Linked DNA regions of Alligator mississippiensis. The protein of the gene in region 2 purifies or fractionates together with the protein of the main gene of each other region. This does not show direct contact. Links are inferred from orthologs where the notes say so. Each region holds a gene or a part of one and is shown on either strand. Other genes may lie near its edges.

Evidence for each region. The genes of interacting proteins can lie anywhere in the genome.
Region 1: the proteins of CASP9 (region 2) and DCC purify together in Homo sapiens (co-immunoprecipitation; 3 studies listed by BioGRID and IntAct, with this or other methods). This does not show direct contact. The link is inferred for Alligator mississippiensis from reciprocal best matches to the Homo sapiens genes CASP9 and DCC.

The regions. Positions count from the first base shown.
Region 1 is NC_081826.1:287,262,723-287,270,573, forward strand, and holds the start of DCC (netrin receptor DCC), read right to left. Parts: upstream 3,010-7,851; 5' UTR 2,387-3,009; coding exon 2,296-2,386; intron 1-2,295. UniProt on the Homo sapiens protein: Receptor for netrin required for axon guidance. Mediates axon attraction of neuronal growth cones in the developing nervous system upon ligand binding. Its association with UNC5 proteins may trigger signaling for axon repulsion.
Region 2 is NC_081836.1:5,599,400-5,606,532, forward strand, and holds the start of CASP9 (caspase-9), read left to right. Parts: upstream 1-4,084; 5' UTR 4,085-4,104; coding exon 4,105-4,236; intron 4,237-4,339; coding exon 4,340-4,553; intron 4,554-6,002; coding exon 6,003-6,092; intron 6,093-6,781; coding exon 6,782-6,834; intron 6,835-7,133. Other genes in the region: DNAJC16 (dnaJ homolog subfamily C member 16), read right to left, coding at 60-126, 3,763-3,929. UniProt on the Homo sapiens protein: Involved in the activation cascade of caspases responsible for apoptosis execution. Binding of caspase-9 to Apaf-1 leads to activation of the protease which then cleaves and activates effector caspases caspase-3 (CASP3) or caspase-7 (CASP7).

The DNA of each region.
Region 1 (7,851 bases), on a different chromosome or scaffold from region 2:
TTAAAGTTTTAAACAAATTCTTACATCTCCAAACCAGCTTTGGGCTTTAGTGAGGAAGTGTGAAAGGACACAGCCCCATTGTGTTGCATCTCTATAAGCCCTTTGTTACCAGTCAACAAAGTCTTTAAATGCCCTGCTGAATGGGAATTTTGCCAAGCAGCAAACCAGTTACTTGGCCTTATTAAGGGCACCTCCTACTGGTCCTTTCAGAGAGTGAATTATGCTTTCTTTACTATCAATCCCCTGCTAGGTTTCTGAAGGGAGAAAAAAGCTGCTAAGAGGTGGAGTGGAAATTCAGAGATTAATGAGCAGAAGCCAAAGACATTTGAACAGCATTACCTTAAAGGTGCAAGGTCTTTTTTATTTTGTCAGCTGAATCCAGGTTATAAAATGGGACTTAAAATAACCACATCTTTGAGGAGTGACACCTCAGAAAAGATCCAGAGGTTCAACACAAGAAAAACTTTGCAGAATTCTAGCTTGCAAAGCAAAGCACAGGCCAGGGAACTTGCTGCAACGTACAGATTCATGGCTCCAAACGCAGCGTGATGAACAAATACATGCTACAAAAAGGTAGCAACATATGCACAAATAAAATGCCCAGCTAGGAAACAACCTGCTCCTATAATTACTTTTCTGCATAATAGCAGCAGACACCACTCCCCTCTGTACCAGGAAGGCAGCTTGTTTGCAGTGTGGGTTTGGCCCTCCATACAGTATAGGGCTTTCTTCACTCCCGTCCTCACACACACACACTCTCCATCTCACTGTATGTCAGGAAAGAAGCCTGCAAGTCAATCATCTTTCAAGAAGGAGGATCATTGACATGTCTCCCATCTACTAGCCTTTAAGCTGCAAATTCAAGAGAGACACCTATTCATTATCCTGCTCTGATTGCCAGGTCCCACCTTCCATACAAGTAATTGCAGAGGACAATGCTGAGAGAGACATGCACATTGCACACATGCAGTCACACACAAATGAGCCTCCTTGTATTTAATAGAAGCATCTTCCAGTTCACTTGTTAGCCCTCACACACACAAAAAAGACCCCCCCCCCCCAAAAAAAATGAAACATTTTTTTGGAAAAAGGAACCTCATCTACACAAACAATTTAAGGCATTTCCATTAGCATACAGCTGACAACCTGAATGATGCTACAACAGAGTGAAGATCTTTTTGCAAAGGCTTCATCTGCAGCACTTTCCCCATTACAAAAAGCTGCTTTAGTAGTGTCCGTGTGCATGTGTGTGACTGTGTGTGTGTTGGGGGGGGCCGCTTCTATTGTTCATCAGTAGTTGGTGTGATAGCAATTTGTATGCATGTGTGTTTATTTTATTGTTGCAGTTCGTGGCTTCTCTCTTCCTGAGATCCCTCCTAATGAAACACTGCTCATTTTCTTTGGGAGACAAATCCAATGATCACTGGAGAATAATATTTCTTCGCACACATTTCCCCCCGCCTCTCCTCACCATTACCCCCATGCTCTCACACTCCTAGCCACCTACAAATCAACACTGCACTTTTTTAGTTCCTAACACTTCTTGGATAAGGCTGCTGTTTCATTTTTTTTTTAAAGAAATCTCAAATTCCCAGCTCTGCTCCATCTCCTGCATAGATGGCCCCTCAGCATCACTGTATCATTTCCCCCTCTTTCCTTCTCTATTCCAATTCAATACACAATTGGCTTTGCCATTTTTAATTAGAAAATGTGCCTGCCAAGTGCAAGAGAGACAACCCCAAAGAATATCAATCAAAAGGAGTTTGGAGGGGCTTCAGAGAGAACTGCATTTTCTGTCCCCTCAACTAGTATTTCGGTTTTCTTCATTTCCCTTTCCACGCTCCTTCCCCCTCTCAAAATATCCCTTCCCCTCAATCTCAGCCTAAAGATCCCAAAGGCTACTGGCAAATATATCCAATAGCAAGAGGAATTAGGTGCAAAAAAGAATATGAACCATCCCCTCCATACACACACGCACGCACGCACACACACACTACTGCTACGTCCTCCCACATTTCTCCTTTATTTTTATGGGTTTCCTTCCTTTTAGTGGCTCTCCTTTTTTCAAAGGCTACACAAGGTGCTTCTCAGCCCAATTCTCTCTCTCTCTCTTCAAATCTATGTCAAGTACTTGCAAGAGCTTACCCTGACGAACAACAAAAACCAAATCGAGAGTGGAGGGGGTGGAAAAACAAAGTCTGTTAGCACATGAGAAATGGGCACATTCCTTCAGGTTCGACAAAATCCACCCATTATCTGTGTAGTGCAGAAGCAAATAAGGCAGAGATGACTTACCGGTGACTTGAAGATGCAGGCTGATCAGAGAAAACCCGAAGAGTAGAAAAGCCAGCTTTGGTACCCAAACACATCCAAGACTATTCTCCATATTTCAACACACACCTACAGAGATTTGGGTCCTGAGCACCAGCAACAACAAAACACACGCACACACAGCCCCTTCTGCCTCCTTCTCTTCTGTTTTTTTCCTTTTTTCTTTTTTTTCTTTTTCAGTCCCTGCTGACGGGAATCAGCAGAGGGAAAAGGAGGGAGGGGGGGAAGGAAAAAAAAGTTACATTCAGTCCAGCAGCCTCCAAGCCTCCAGAATGTGTCAGGAAACTAACTCAAGGAAAAAAGGGAAGGATGGGGAAGGATCTTCCCACTGTTGGAAAACCATACATAGAAAAATCCTGACAAAAAATAGCTGTCCAGGGTGCATCAGATGACGGGGGGCTGGTCCGTTTCCATCACTGCGTTAAAGTACCAAAAAAAAAAAGAGAGAGAAAAAGTCGGGAGAAAACAAAAGAGCTCGTGATTTTCCTCCTTCTTGACAGATGTTGATGAGGGGGGAAAAAAGAGAGAGGGAGAGAAAAGGATGTAAAGCTCTCACTTGTTACTGGAGCTGTCCACCAGCAGTATGTGAGATGGGAGTTAGAGCTGTAACATCCATTGATCCGAAGAAGTGGAGGGCTGGAAGGGAAAACGTGGAGAGCGGAGAGAAACCAACTGGATCAGGGAAAAAGATTCCACTGGAAGGGGGGAAAAAAGAACTGACTGAGCCCGGCTGCCTTCAGCCGCTATATTTGCTGAGTCTACATATGAATGAGCTGGGATGCCCTCTGTAGGCAAAGCCTGGGAAGTAACTTTTCCTCAATGGAGCTAATTAATACAATGCATTTCCCCACTTTATATTGCTCTTGCTCCTGTCACTGCAAAGCTCCCTAGTTTAGGATTGCAGAGGGCTTGGTTGATTTGTTTCACGTGCTCCTGTGAATTTGACCTGCACTGACAGTTATTTAAATCAGTAATCAGAACATGCTATTTTACACACACACACACGCTGCAAATCTAAAGCATTCAGAAGTCAGGAGCTTGGCATCTAAAAAAAAAGTATAATTTAATTTTATATAAAAGCCTTTTGGTTACTAAGAAACTTGGATCTCTTTTTTATTTATCTTTTGGATCTTGAGATTTTAATATCCACTTTTTTCCACATCTATTTTTTTGCAATCATGAGATGGAAACGTTCCATGTAAAATAAAAGCCAACATTTGCACGAAAAAGCTGTGAGTCTGGAAGGTGACATTATATACAAGACACCAAACTATCACAAGTCTTGTGATAAAAAAAATACAAGCGTGGGCAATGGTAATGTTATGCTCCTAGTATTATTTTATTCTGCAGCACATGCTTTAGCACAGCATGGGTCAAATAACCAGTTGATTTATTCTAGTCCTCAGCCTCTCGTTAATTGTTGCCTTGATCAACTATCCCCCAGAAGAGCTGCACAAATATACTGAGTCATCATCTTTCACAATTTGACTCACAACTTTGTCCTTTTTAAATGGAAAAGAGCTCCAAAGGGTGCTCCACAGCACTTTATAATCTCAGATGCCTGCTGCAGGCATCTCACCGGGCACTGAGATGCCTGCTGCTAGAACTATAAAGAACTATAGACCTATAAAGGATGACATGCATTTACTCAAGAGAGGATGTTATGTAGTTATAGGCTAGGGGAAGAAATTACACATAACCGGTATAAGTGATCGGAAACCAGTCCAAATCTGTAATACAACAGAAGTTCAATGCACATAAACTCCTTTCAAAATGGCCAAAACTTGTTTGAGATAAACCTAGATGGATATAATCTCAAACTTAACTGATTTAGGTTAAATCAGTTTATTGAACTTCTGTCCCATATCCCCTCCAGATTCAAGTTAACTCAAAGTCCCCCAGCATCCCACAATACTTTGGTCCAAACCGTCTGCTCTACTCCAGCAGGAAGCTTTGCTCTAATGCTCCCTGGCTTCTGGCCTGGGCCACTGCAGGCATGTGGCTGCATTTATGGATCAAAAGTATGTGCCTGTTCGCTTTCCTTATCAGTTCAAGCTACACAGCTTAGACTAACTTGAGAAGATTTTGATTGTCTGTATTTAGTCATAAAGTGGAGGCCTTCTGATGAAATGTTAACAAAGGTCTGATCCTCTTTTTTGGTGGCTGTTTATCTAAAAAAGCACTTCTCAAGAACTGTCCTGCATGACATTCCTAGTCCTGGTGTCCTTACTTGGACAAAATTCCCATAGGAGTTTTAAATCCCATACAATAGAATAGAAAAATAAGATACAGACCTTAAATACCTTTCATGTGCAGCAAGGTCAGACCTTCTCAACGTTATTTTGAATTGGTTCTAATTTTCTACCAGCTGTTTATGAGCTCTAGTTGTTTTGCTTTCATAAAGTAAAGCAGTGGTGGTCAATCTCTTTGGGGGGAGTTGTGGCTCAAGCTAAGCCCTTCTCCTGCCCTAAGTGCTGTTCTGATCCCCACCCTCTTGAGGTGTACTTGATAGACTTTGTACCTTCCCATATCAAATGGAAATGGTGGGGTTTGAGTCTGCAACACAGGGAGCAGAACACTGCGGTGAGAGGAGATGTCACCACCAAAAGTCAGTTAACCATCCCCTGGTTCCAAAACCACCATAGTTTTAGCAATGATCCAAAGTCCTTAATTCAGCGGTGGCTGCAAAGCCAGGGGAGGGTTAATCTGGCTCTTGGCAATCACACCCAACACTTCCTCTCATAGCAGTGTCCTGTTCTCCTTCTGCTCCACTTGGTCACAGACTTGAGCCACTCTACCTCTATTCTGGTGCCCCTGTTTATTGAGTGCCCAGGACTCATGTGCCACACGCAGCAGCTGCCTGTACCACTCAAGACATGCATGGCGGGTTCACCATGCCTGTTCTAGAAGCTGCTTCATTACTCATCCTTTTTGGGGAAGATGGAAAGAAAAATGAAGTGGACTGATTCTGATGTAATGCATCCAGTGATCCTTCCTATGAATATTTAATCCAAGTCAAACAGAGGTAGGCTCTGCATGGTGACACCACAGTACAAGCTTTATCCTTAGTCTGAAAAGTGGGAAAGCCAGGAGCTGCAGGGTCTGTGAGTAACTAACAGCCTCAATGAAGACATCAGCTATGTCACAAGGAGATCTATAATACTGAAGTTCTATCTATTGAGCTAGGAGGACATTTGTCTCAGAAGACTTCCCATAGGAGCAACTGAAGACAATTCATTTTATGAATTCAAAAACAATATGGAGTTCACCAAAAAGGGACTTGGAAGAGATGACCCATGAGGTCCCTTCCAAGCCTATGATCCCAAGATGCTCTACTCTATATGATGCTCTACTTTTTTGGTTTTGCTGTTACCTTGCTTATTGGTCCTTCACCATGTGGTCATTTTTCTCCCCTTACCTTCTGACTTTCTTCAAATCTCTTCCATTTGTTTATCTCCTTTCTCTCTGTTTTTATGGAAAGTCCCATCCCAATGCCTTCAGCTATGACCCTTGTGTGGATGACTCCAAAACCTACTACATTGCTTACATTTCCACTCTCATATTTTCTGCTGCCTCTTAAATATTTCCTTGGCTATCCCATTCACCCTACAAAACTAAACACCAAACTGGGGGCCAAATTGTGGTTGTACTTTTGCACACCTTGCCCATGTGATATCCAATACCTGTGCTCAAAAGCAAACATATAATTCACCTAATAGGGAATAAATAATTTTGTGTTAGCAGGATTGAACTGTTCATAACATTGTGTTCTTCTCACAGAAACTAGATAGGGGACTCTGACAAACCAGTGAGGCCATGTGCTGTTTCTTTGCAAAGAAATACAGGAATAGCAGAGGTAAAAGAAGTTACTCCAGCTAAGGATCTGCCACAGTACCTTCAGCATAAGCAGTTTCAAAAGACATGGACTTCAAAAGGGAGGGGGGGAGGGTTACCTAGCACCCTAAGAAGCTGTATAGACAGGTAACATCTCAGAAAAGACACAGACCAACAAATAATATAAACTGAAAGTCTATGGTTTTAGGTAGGAGTCAGGGTTTCAAAAGTGCTCTGGTCCAAGCTGGATCAGATTTGCAAAAACGTTAAGCTGCACACTGGTTGAGTCTTTTTGAAATTCTGGCCCCAATTTTGAGAAACATTTGGAAATCTAGTGCTGAAGTCATGTGTGGCTGCCATTGCTAGATAGATCAGCATGGCTGGAAGAGCTGGACAGGAAATGGATCAGTCTACACATGCCCTGTTCCTTATATTCTTTCCCTAAAGTATCTATTACTTGCCACTGACAATGACAGGATACTTGGCTAGATGGATACATGGCCTGACCAGCATGGCGTGTCTTTCATTCATACAGGTGACACTAACAGAATTCGACATTTCTGTATCTTGCACCCTTGATTCTACATCTGCACAGGACATTGGACTGGATGACATGCAGTCCCTCTCAAACCTATGACTCTACACGCCTCAATCTGCTGTCACGCAAAAGCAACATAAGGCTCAACTTCGATATAGGAACAGAGGTCATTGTTAATGAAAGAGAGATCCTTTAAGCATACGTGAGAACAGTGAGAACAGGACATGGTTTTATTTAGAGCAGGGGAGGGCAATTATTTCGGACAGAGGGTCACTTACTGAGTTTTGGCAAGCCATCAAGGGCCGCATGACAGGCAGTTGGGGGCAGATAAATATTAATTTTCTTATTTTTTTAGGGGCCCCATAGGCTGGATAGAATGGCCTGGTGAGCCGCATCTGGCCCACAGGCCGCATTTTGCCCACCCCTGATTTAGAGGTATGAAACATCTGATTTTAGCCTGCATCTATGAGAGGCCAAAAGTAACATCTCTGTCTTCATCGTTAAATTTCTCTGAAATTTGGAGAAGTTTGGATGTAGATCCCAGTTCAAACCTATGTGAAGGACACTCACTGCTACTCTACTGCAACTTTGACTTTCTAATTCATTAACATTTAAGGCAAGAATCGTTCAATATAATCTATGAACCAGCACATGTATGCAGTCACTGCCTTATAAAAGTAGATCGTGTCCTGCTTTAGGTCAGACTGAGATCTCTATGGTAATGAAAACCTTACCAGTACTTGAGAAACCAGAGGGATCTCTTGCAACTTACTTGCCTGTCACCCACCTAATTCTCCTGGAAGTGGAATCACATACTAAATTTACTCAAATCCAAGATGACTCTGAATTTAAGGCAACCCTTGAATAATTACATTCTATACCTGGGAAAATTATAAATTTGTTAAAATTTTCCATGTATCAAATATAATTCTTGGGAGCAGGTGCTGGGGGAGCCAGTATTGGGGAGGCAGTGGGGGTAATTAAGCAGCCCCTTGCCCACCTGCACCTTGCTTCCTGCCACCCATCCCCCCCCCACTTGTCCCCCTGATGCCTGGCCCCCATGCCTGTGTGTGCAAGTACCTGCTCCCCTTCTCTCCTGGTAGTTAACTCCTCATGCCTGCACCTCCTGGTACCTGTCCTCCATCCTA
Region 2 (7,133 bases):
TCCAGGATCAAACAGCAAGGTTGAAAAGCAGCATAAAGTTAAGAAGCAGTATTTAATACCTCATAGGCCTTGCTAATTTGGATAAACTTATCTTCTGCTCCTGGATCCTTGTTTTTGTCGGGATGCCTACAATGCGAAAAGAAAATGAGAAAATGCATGTCATCCTCTAGGAAGTGATAGCAGCTTATCACAGGGAGTTGCACAACATGCCACAAAAGTAGGCTGCCTCGGCGTAATACTCATGCCAAATGGTATATGTAGATGTTAAAGACATTTAGTGGTATCCCCTGTTTAATCTGTCTGACATTTAAAGTAGATTTATGACAGGAGTCTGACCCCTGCCTCCCCCCACTTGGCTGAAGCACAAAGAATTTTAATGCCTGTTAGTTGTTTTAAACAATAGTATTAAATGGCCTCTTTTCTGCCTAGGTTCCCTGAGGACAGATGATAGATGCTGCAGTTCCGATGATAACTTTCCACATGTCGTACATCAGCTCTGCCCTTACATGTAAGGATACAAACTAGGATGTTGTGCAAACTAACGAATTTCCTTTGAAACGGGGCCAGCTTCCACTATGCATGCCATGAGTTGTACACAGAAGGCAGGGGAGGGAGCAAGGAGCATAGCTGCAGACTGGGTAAGGGAATGGGATTGGATTGGCATGCAGGGAGCATGCTGGCCTTCATTTGTGACATGCCTGCCAAAAAGATTGTCCCCCACTGCTTTAAAAGTACAATGCTCTAAATGCCCATGGAAAGCACCGGTGTGAGGTAGGTCGCATGCTGGCTTGTCTGTCTGTTTGGTGACATGTAAAGTCTCAAAACACATATACACATATATCAAAGGCAGTTTTAGTCAGAGATGGTATCAGACCAGTCTCTTCTCACTTGACTTCAATCTCCTAACTGCTTTTTAAAACTAAAGTTTAAGTGTGGATTATACTGGTATTTTTATTGTATGACACACATGTGCCAGAGCTTTTGCTTTATTTTTACCCAAAGCACAGCTTGATGAAGGTCACAGCTCGCTCGCTCTCATACTGATTTGATGAGTGTATGGATTAGCAACGTCTGCATCTAGTACTTTTAAACCTCTTCAAAGATTGATCTTAGGCTTGGTATTTAAGACTGTGTAAATTAAGTCTAGCACTGGCCTTACTGATCATCAGAAGGGGCTGTAACCTTCTCATCAGTAAAGTACCAGTGTTATCACCAAAAGTGAATGCTATACTCAATGTCAAAACTTGTTAATGTAATCCTATTATGTAAGGCATTAGATCTTAAATAAAAAATCACATCCTCCTGAAAACCTATTTCTAACTCCCTACTTCATTTCCAAGTGTTTAGCTGTCATAATCTTAAACACACACTGGAAACCTTCCAGTTAAATAAAACACACACACTTTAGTACCCCAATCGGTCCACTTGTGCATGTATGTCTAAGAGTACCAACATGCTTTCACTGTTTGCAGGATGAAGATCTTGGAAAAAGAAGACGGCTAGGTACAAGATGAACAAAAGTATACATTGTGAGTCTTAGAGTTTTCTTTCAATTCAGAAGTCTGTCTTCTAGGTGTATAGAAAACTTTACCTAAAGTCTGTCTTGATCAGAGTTCAAGTGTGTCCTGTTTTAAACAAAGTCCAGGAACTCTAATTACTTTGTTTAGGGAGCATTAAATAGATGCAATTAGAGACATTCACTTACAACCATCACCATCCTGCAACAACCCCTACGAAAGCCCCAAAGATAACAAAAGAAAATACATCTGTTCATACTCCGGATGATTTCACCAATAGATTATATTTCCCCCCCCCCCCATCTTATACAACATAAAATGTATCAGGCCTTCCAAAATCTAATACTCAACTACTCCTTGGTCCACGAATGTTAAGTTATAGGCCAAATTGGAACTTTGCATCTATAAAACCAAGGACCATGTCTCTTAATTTTTACTCTTGCAAGTAATCCTTTGTCCTATAGGGCAACAGTTCTCAACCTTTTTTTTTTTTTTTGTACCGGGACCCATTTGTAAACATGGAGGGCCAGTTCCGACCCAGTGTCCCCAGCCCCCCAGTGCATAGTACAGGGGGAGCCCCAAGCCACCCCTTCCAGGCTGGAGCTCTGCCTGCCTGCAAGGGAAAACCCAGTTTCCCATATTTTTTTCTCCTTTAAAGGAGAATCCATTTTTTTTTAAAGCTTGTCAATCCTTTTTTTAAAGTCTGCCCGTGACCCTTACACACACACACACACACACACACACACACACACACACACACACACACACACACACACACACACACTTTCCTCAACCCATGGGTTCATAGTTTCATAGTAGCTAGGGTCAGGAGGGACCTGAATGGATCATCTAGCCTGACCCCCTGCCACAAGCAGGAATGAAGGCTGGGTTCACAAGACCCCAGACAGGTGATCATCTAACTTCTTTTTTGAGTTTGCCCAAGGTAGGGGCGAGGACCACTTCCCTGGGAAGTTGGTTCCAGATTTTGGCCACCCTAACTGTAAAACATTGCCTTCTGATCTCCAACCTAAAACTATTCTCCATCAGCTTATGACCATTGTTCCTCATCACCCAGGTGGTGCTGGGGAGAAAAGGGCTCTGCCTATTTGTTGTCGATCCCCCCTGATGAGCTTGTAGGCAGCCACCAGGTCCCCCCTCAGCCTCCTCTTGCTGAGGCTGAACAGGTTCAGGTCCCTCCGTCTCTCCTCGTAGGGCCTGTCCTGCTGCCCTCTCACCAAGCGGGCGGCCTCCTCTGACCCCTCTCCAGGCTGGCCACATCCCTCCTGAAGTGCGGCGCCCAATACTGGACGCAGTACTCCAACTGCGGCCTGACCAAAGTCACATAGAGGGGGAGGATCACCTCTCTGCACCAGCTCGAGATGCACCTTTGGATGCGTGACAAGGTCTGGCTGGCCTTGCTGGCTGCGGTCTGGCATTGTTCATCTTGGAGTCAATAATGACTCTGAGATCCCTTTCTGCCTCTGTGCTTTCAAGAGGGGAACTCCCCAGCCTGTCTGTGTGCTGTGGATGCCTTCCCCCCAGGTGCAGCACCCTGCATTTGTCTACACTGAACCCCATCCTATCCTCATCCACCCATTTTTGTAGTCTGTCTAAATCTGTTGTGATGCAGAAGTAGGTGGCAAGAATAAACATCTTTCATATAATCACCCTAATCGGGGAGCCCGCGACTTGCGGCGTTTCGCCATTTACACCCACGTCATTACTCACGGCGCTGGATCCTCGCACTTACGGCACTACAGGGAAACTTTCAATGAGAAAAAAAAAAAGGGGCAGCAAAAAAAACCATCCCTGGATCAGTTTCTCAAAAAGCCGTCGAGTGGCTCCAAGTCTCCCCAAAATCTCCCCCAAAAAGCCCTTCTGAACGCCGTGACCCTGACGAAGACGTTCCTTCACCTTCTGTTTAAATACAATTTTACGTGATGCGTTACTGTACTGCCCTGTTTAATCGATTTGTATCCAGCGCACTTCAGGAAGCGTGGTACTGTCCATTTCAATAGGGTGTTTATGGTCATTTCTACAAAACCGTACGATAATATATTCTTGCCCCCTACTTTTGCACCATAGGGTGAATAGATGAAAGATATATATATATATATATATTTCTGGAAGCAAGACCAGCCTCAGCTCCATCATTTGCCTCAAACCGCAATGACGGGACAGCGGTGCTCAGCCCCCTGTGAGGGGCCGATCCCGGGGGGGGGGGGGGGGGGACGACGGGACGTACCACTCCCGGGCGAGGCGCTTGTAGGCCTTCTTGATGTCGGCAGCGCCGGCGGCGCGGCCCAGGCCCAGCACGCGGTACGGGTCGAAGTCGGCGGCCCACGGGCCCGGCAGGGCCAGCGCCAGCACCAGCACCGCCGCCGCGGCCGCGCGCAGCACCCTCGGCTCCATGGGCCCGGCCCGGATGAGACCCGCCGCCGCTTCCGGCTTCCCGCCCCGCCCCTCGCGTCACCATGGACACGGCACGCTCACTTCCGCTCGGGGGGGGGGTGTGTGGAATCCGCGCGCGGGGCATGCTGGGGTGCAGGAGGCCGGATGTGCGGCGCGGCGACGTCACATCCGGGCGATGGAAGCCGAGCAGCGGCAGCGCTTGCAGCGGGGTCGCGTGCGGCTGGTGCGGGGCCTGCAGCTGGAGGCGCTGTGGGGGCCGCTGGTGCGGGACGGCGTCTTCTCCCGCGACATGCTCGACGACATCCAGGTGCCGGCAGCCTCCCTCCCTCCGCTCCGCTCCGCTCCCCGCTGCTTGGAAATGCTGGCTTCTGGGCCCGGGGTGCAAATCAATCGTGTCCCCTGCCTTACAGAGAGCAGGCTCTCCGAGAGACCAAGCCAGGCAGTTACTGATAGACCTCGAGACCCGCGGGAAGCAAGCTTTTCCTACCTTTGTTTCCATCCTACGCGAAACCGGACAGAAAGACCTGGCGGATTTCCTGAGTGAAGGATGCGCTTTCCCGCGGCCGTCCTCAATTGACATAAAACCCATTGAAATCGGGCCGCGTGGCGGAAGGGGCCGTGCAGGTAAGTGTCGATGCGACCGCCGTAACGAGCAGCAAAACACAGCGTTCGTAAGCCCTCTTGCTGTGGCGGTACCGGAGAGCGGCTAGTGGCCTGTTCGATGCGATAGCCCGTCTGTCATCCAGAATCGGGTGTCAGCCCGCGCAGCGTTTGGGAAAGGGCAGCGCGGTTCGGCGTTACTCACGAGTTTTATCTGCAGCTACGTCCCAGGAACTTGAGATGGATGTTCTTGCATACAAGTTCTTGATTGATGTTATATTGCATGTAATCTCTCTGGCGCCTCACATCTGAAGTCTGAGGGCATATGTTTCTCTCTGCATCAGGAAGACGCTGTTTGCCTTGATTTAAAGAAGGGATTAGACCTCAGATCTGGGTTCCGTTCCTAGGCCGGTGGCTGTTGGAGAGCCATAAAGCTCATAGTTTTCTCTGCTGCAACATGGGGATAAAGCTTATCTATCTGGCAAAAGACATACCAGGCAAAGCTAAAATACAAGGCATGTTTTAGCTTTGCCTCGTATGTCTTTTGCCAGATAGAATTAGACATTTTGATTATCTATCTGAATTAGACATACGAGGCAAAGCCAAAAGACATACGAGGCAAAGCTAAAGTTTTCCTTGAAGGAAAGGAACTATAAATGCACAAAACATCTGTAATTCGAGGACCAGTGCTGTTTTTTTGTCAGAGATCTGTGTTGTCGGTTGGGTAGCTGGTTCTATTAACAGCTTACTTTTCATTTTCAGGTTCCCTTTGTTGCCCCTTATTTTATAGCGTGCTCTAAGTGTTGCTGGTTGTTTCACCAAACCCTTAAAGGCATTGCTTAGTCTTAAATGGATAGATCATGCCTTGCAGAATAGTTGAGATGTTGCAAAGATATTTGGCTTAGGGGAAGTCAGTGAGAGAAAGACGAGCATTTGCAGGAAGGAGGTGGCCTTGGAAGGCTATTTGCAGAATAATTGGTGGCCAGAAAGATGCATGTTGCAGTTAAGAAGGGGAAGGACAGGTGCTGGGTTCAGCTGGGGGGGGGTATAGGGGAGGGTCAGATGGAGTTTTAGGGAAGAAAGAAGTGGAGAGGCATCTTTCTGAATGGACTAGCCTTTTCAGGATGCTTGATTTCTTTAGGGTACGCACAGGAGAAGTTGCTGTCTATAAGCACAGCCCAGGAAGAAAGGAACAGTAGTGAAAACACTTGGCTCACAATTCCCACCCAGATCACTGCACAGTCTTGTTCTAGTTTCATCTCATGCCATATCATTAACAACAGGGACTGAGCCCTACAGTGAAAGGATATAAATGATACCTAGCACCCAGGCAGTAGGGCAAGATATTCAATTGCCTGCAACAAGCAGTGCTCCAAACAACTCCAGAGACAGCCTGCTGTCTGCTTCACACACCCTACCTCTGACAGGAACCTGGAGGAAGAGGGGTACTTCAAATGTCCTGTGCCTTTTCAGGTGGGAGAGACTCTGAGTATTTGCCTCTGCCAGTCCAAGCCAGGACTGAGAGAGACCAAGAATTGGACCATCCTGGTACAGTGGCTCACAGTAAGTAGTCTCTTGGTAGGTAAGACCTAAGTCCTGGCAGTTTCTCTGTCCTTCCCCTGCTTCTCTGAGGAAGCCCTTGACCACCTATCCCTCTGGGAGTCTCACAGTATTTTTCATGTTGGGTTAATCTCCCTGAATGCCATGCTGCCTGGAACACGTGAGAATTGTATAACTGGAAGACATTATAGAAATACAAAATGCACCTTTTGCTCCACTCTTCCCTTTCCCTGTAGCTTTCTCTATACGTGCTGGGCTTCCCTGTACCTTACTGTTCAGGCATCACTGCTGAACAGTGATTTTTTTTTTTTCCCCCTGTGTGCAGTGAAGGGACAGCAAATCTGCTGCTTTTCCCTGCGAAGCTTGTACCTGCATGTCTCCTCTTCAGGCCATAGTGTTGGTACACATCATGAGCTGTTGTCTTGGGATCTTCCTACAAGCTCAAAACAGCTAGAGAGGAATAAAAGGGGGTTAAAACAAAGGCTTTCTCATGTTGGCTCCAACAGGGAAAGACGTAATTAACAGAAGGGATCTCATCAGAAAGACACATGGATGCCATGCCATGGCATTATTGGTTTTAAGATGCAGTATAACAAATGTGAGCCAATGTTTGTGTTGGTATTAATGCTGTGAATCTAAGTCCAAGCCTCTTGCTAATGAGTTGCAGGTGCTTGCTTGGAGCTGAATGTCAGGTCTGTGTGTTGCAGGTGCTGCTGCAGACAGGTTCAGACAGAACTCCGATATGGTCAGTGTCCTTTTTCTGTGCATCTTTTTCTTGCTTGTGTCCTCTCTGAGCTGTCCAGTGCCAGCTCCTGTCGCATCCACCTGATGCCCCATTTTCAAAAGGGAATCAGGCATTTCTAAGCCTAAGGCTCATTGACAATCCAAAGGGCTTTGGTCCAGATTGTTAAGGGGATTTAAGAGCATAGATCCAGTGGTAGTGAAGTGCTCAAATACCTTTAACAGTTAGCAGAGGGAGCTGACCCCAAGGCTCATCTAGCATCTCTATCCACTGTGACGATGGTCCACTAAGAGGTATTCCCA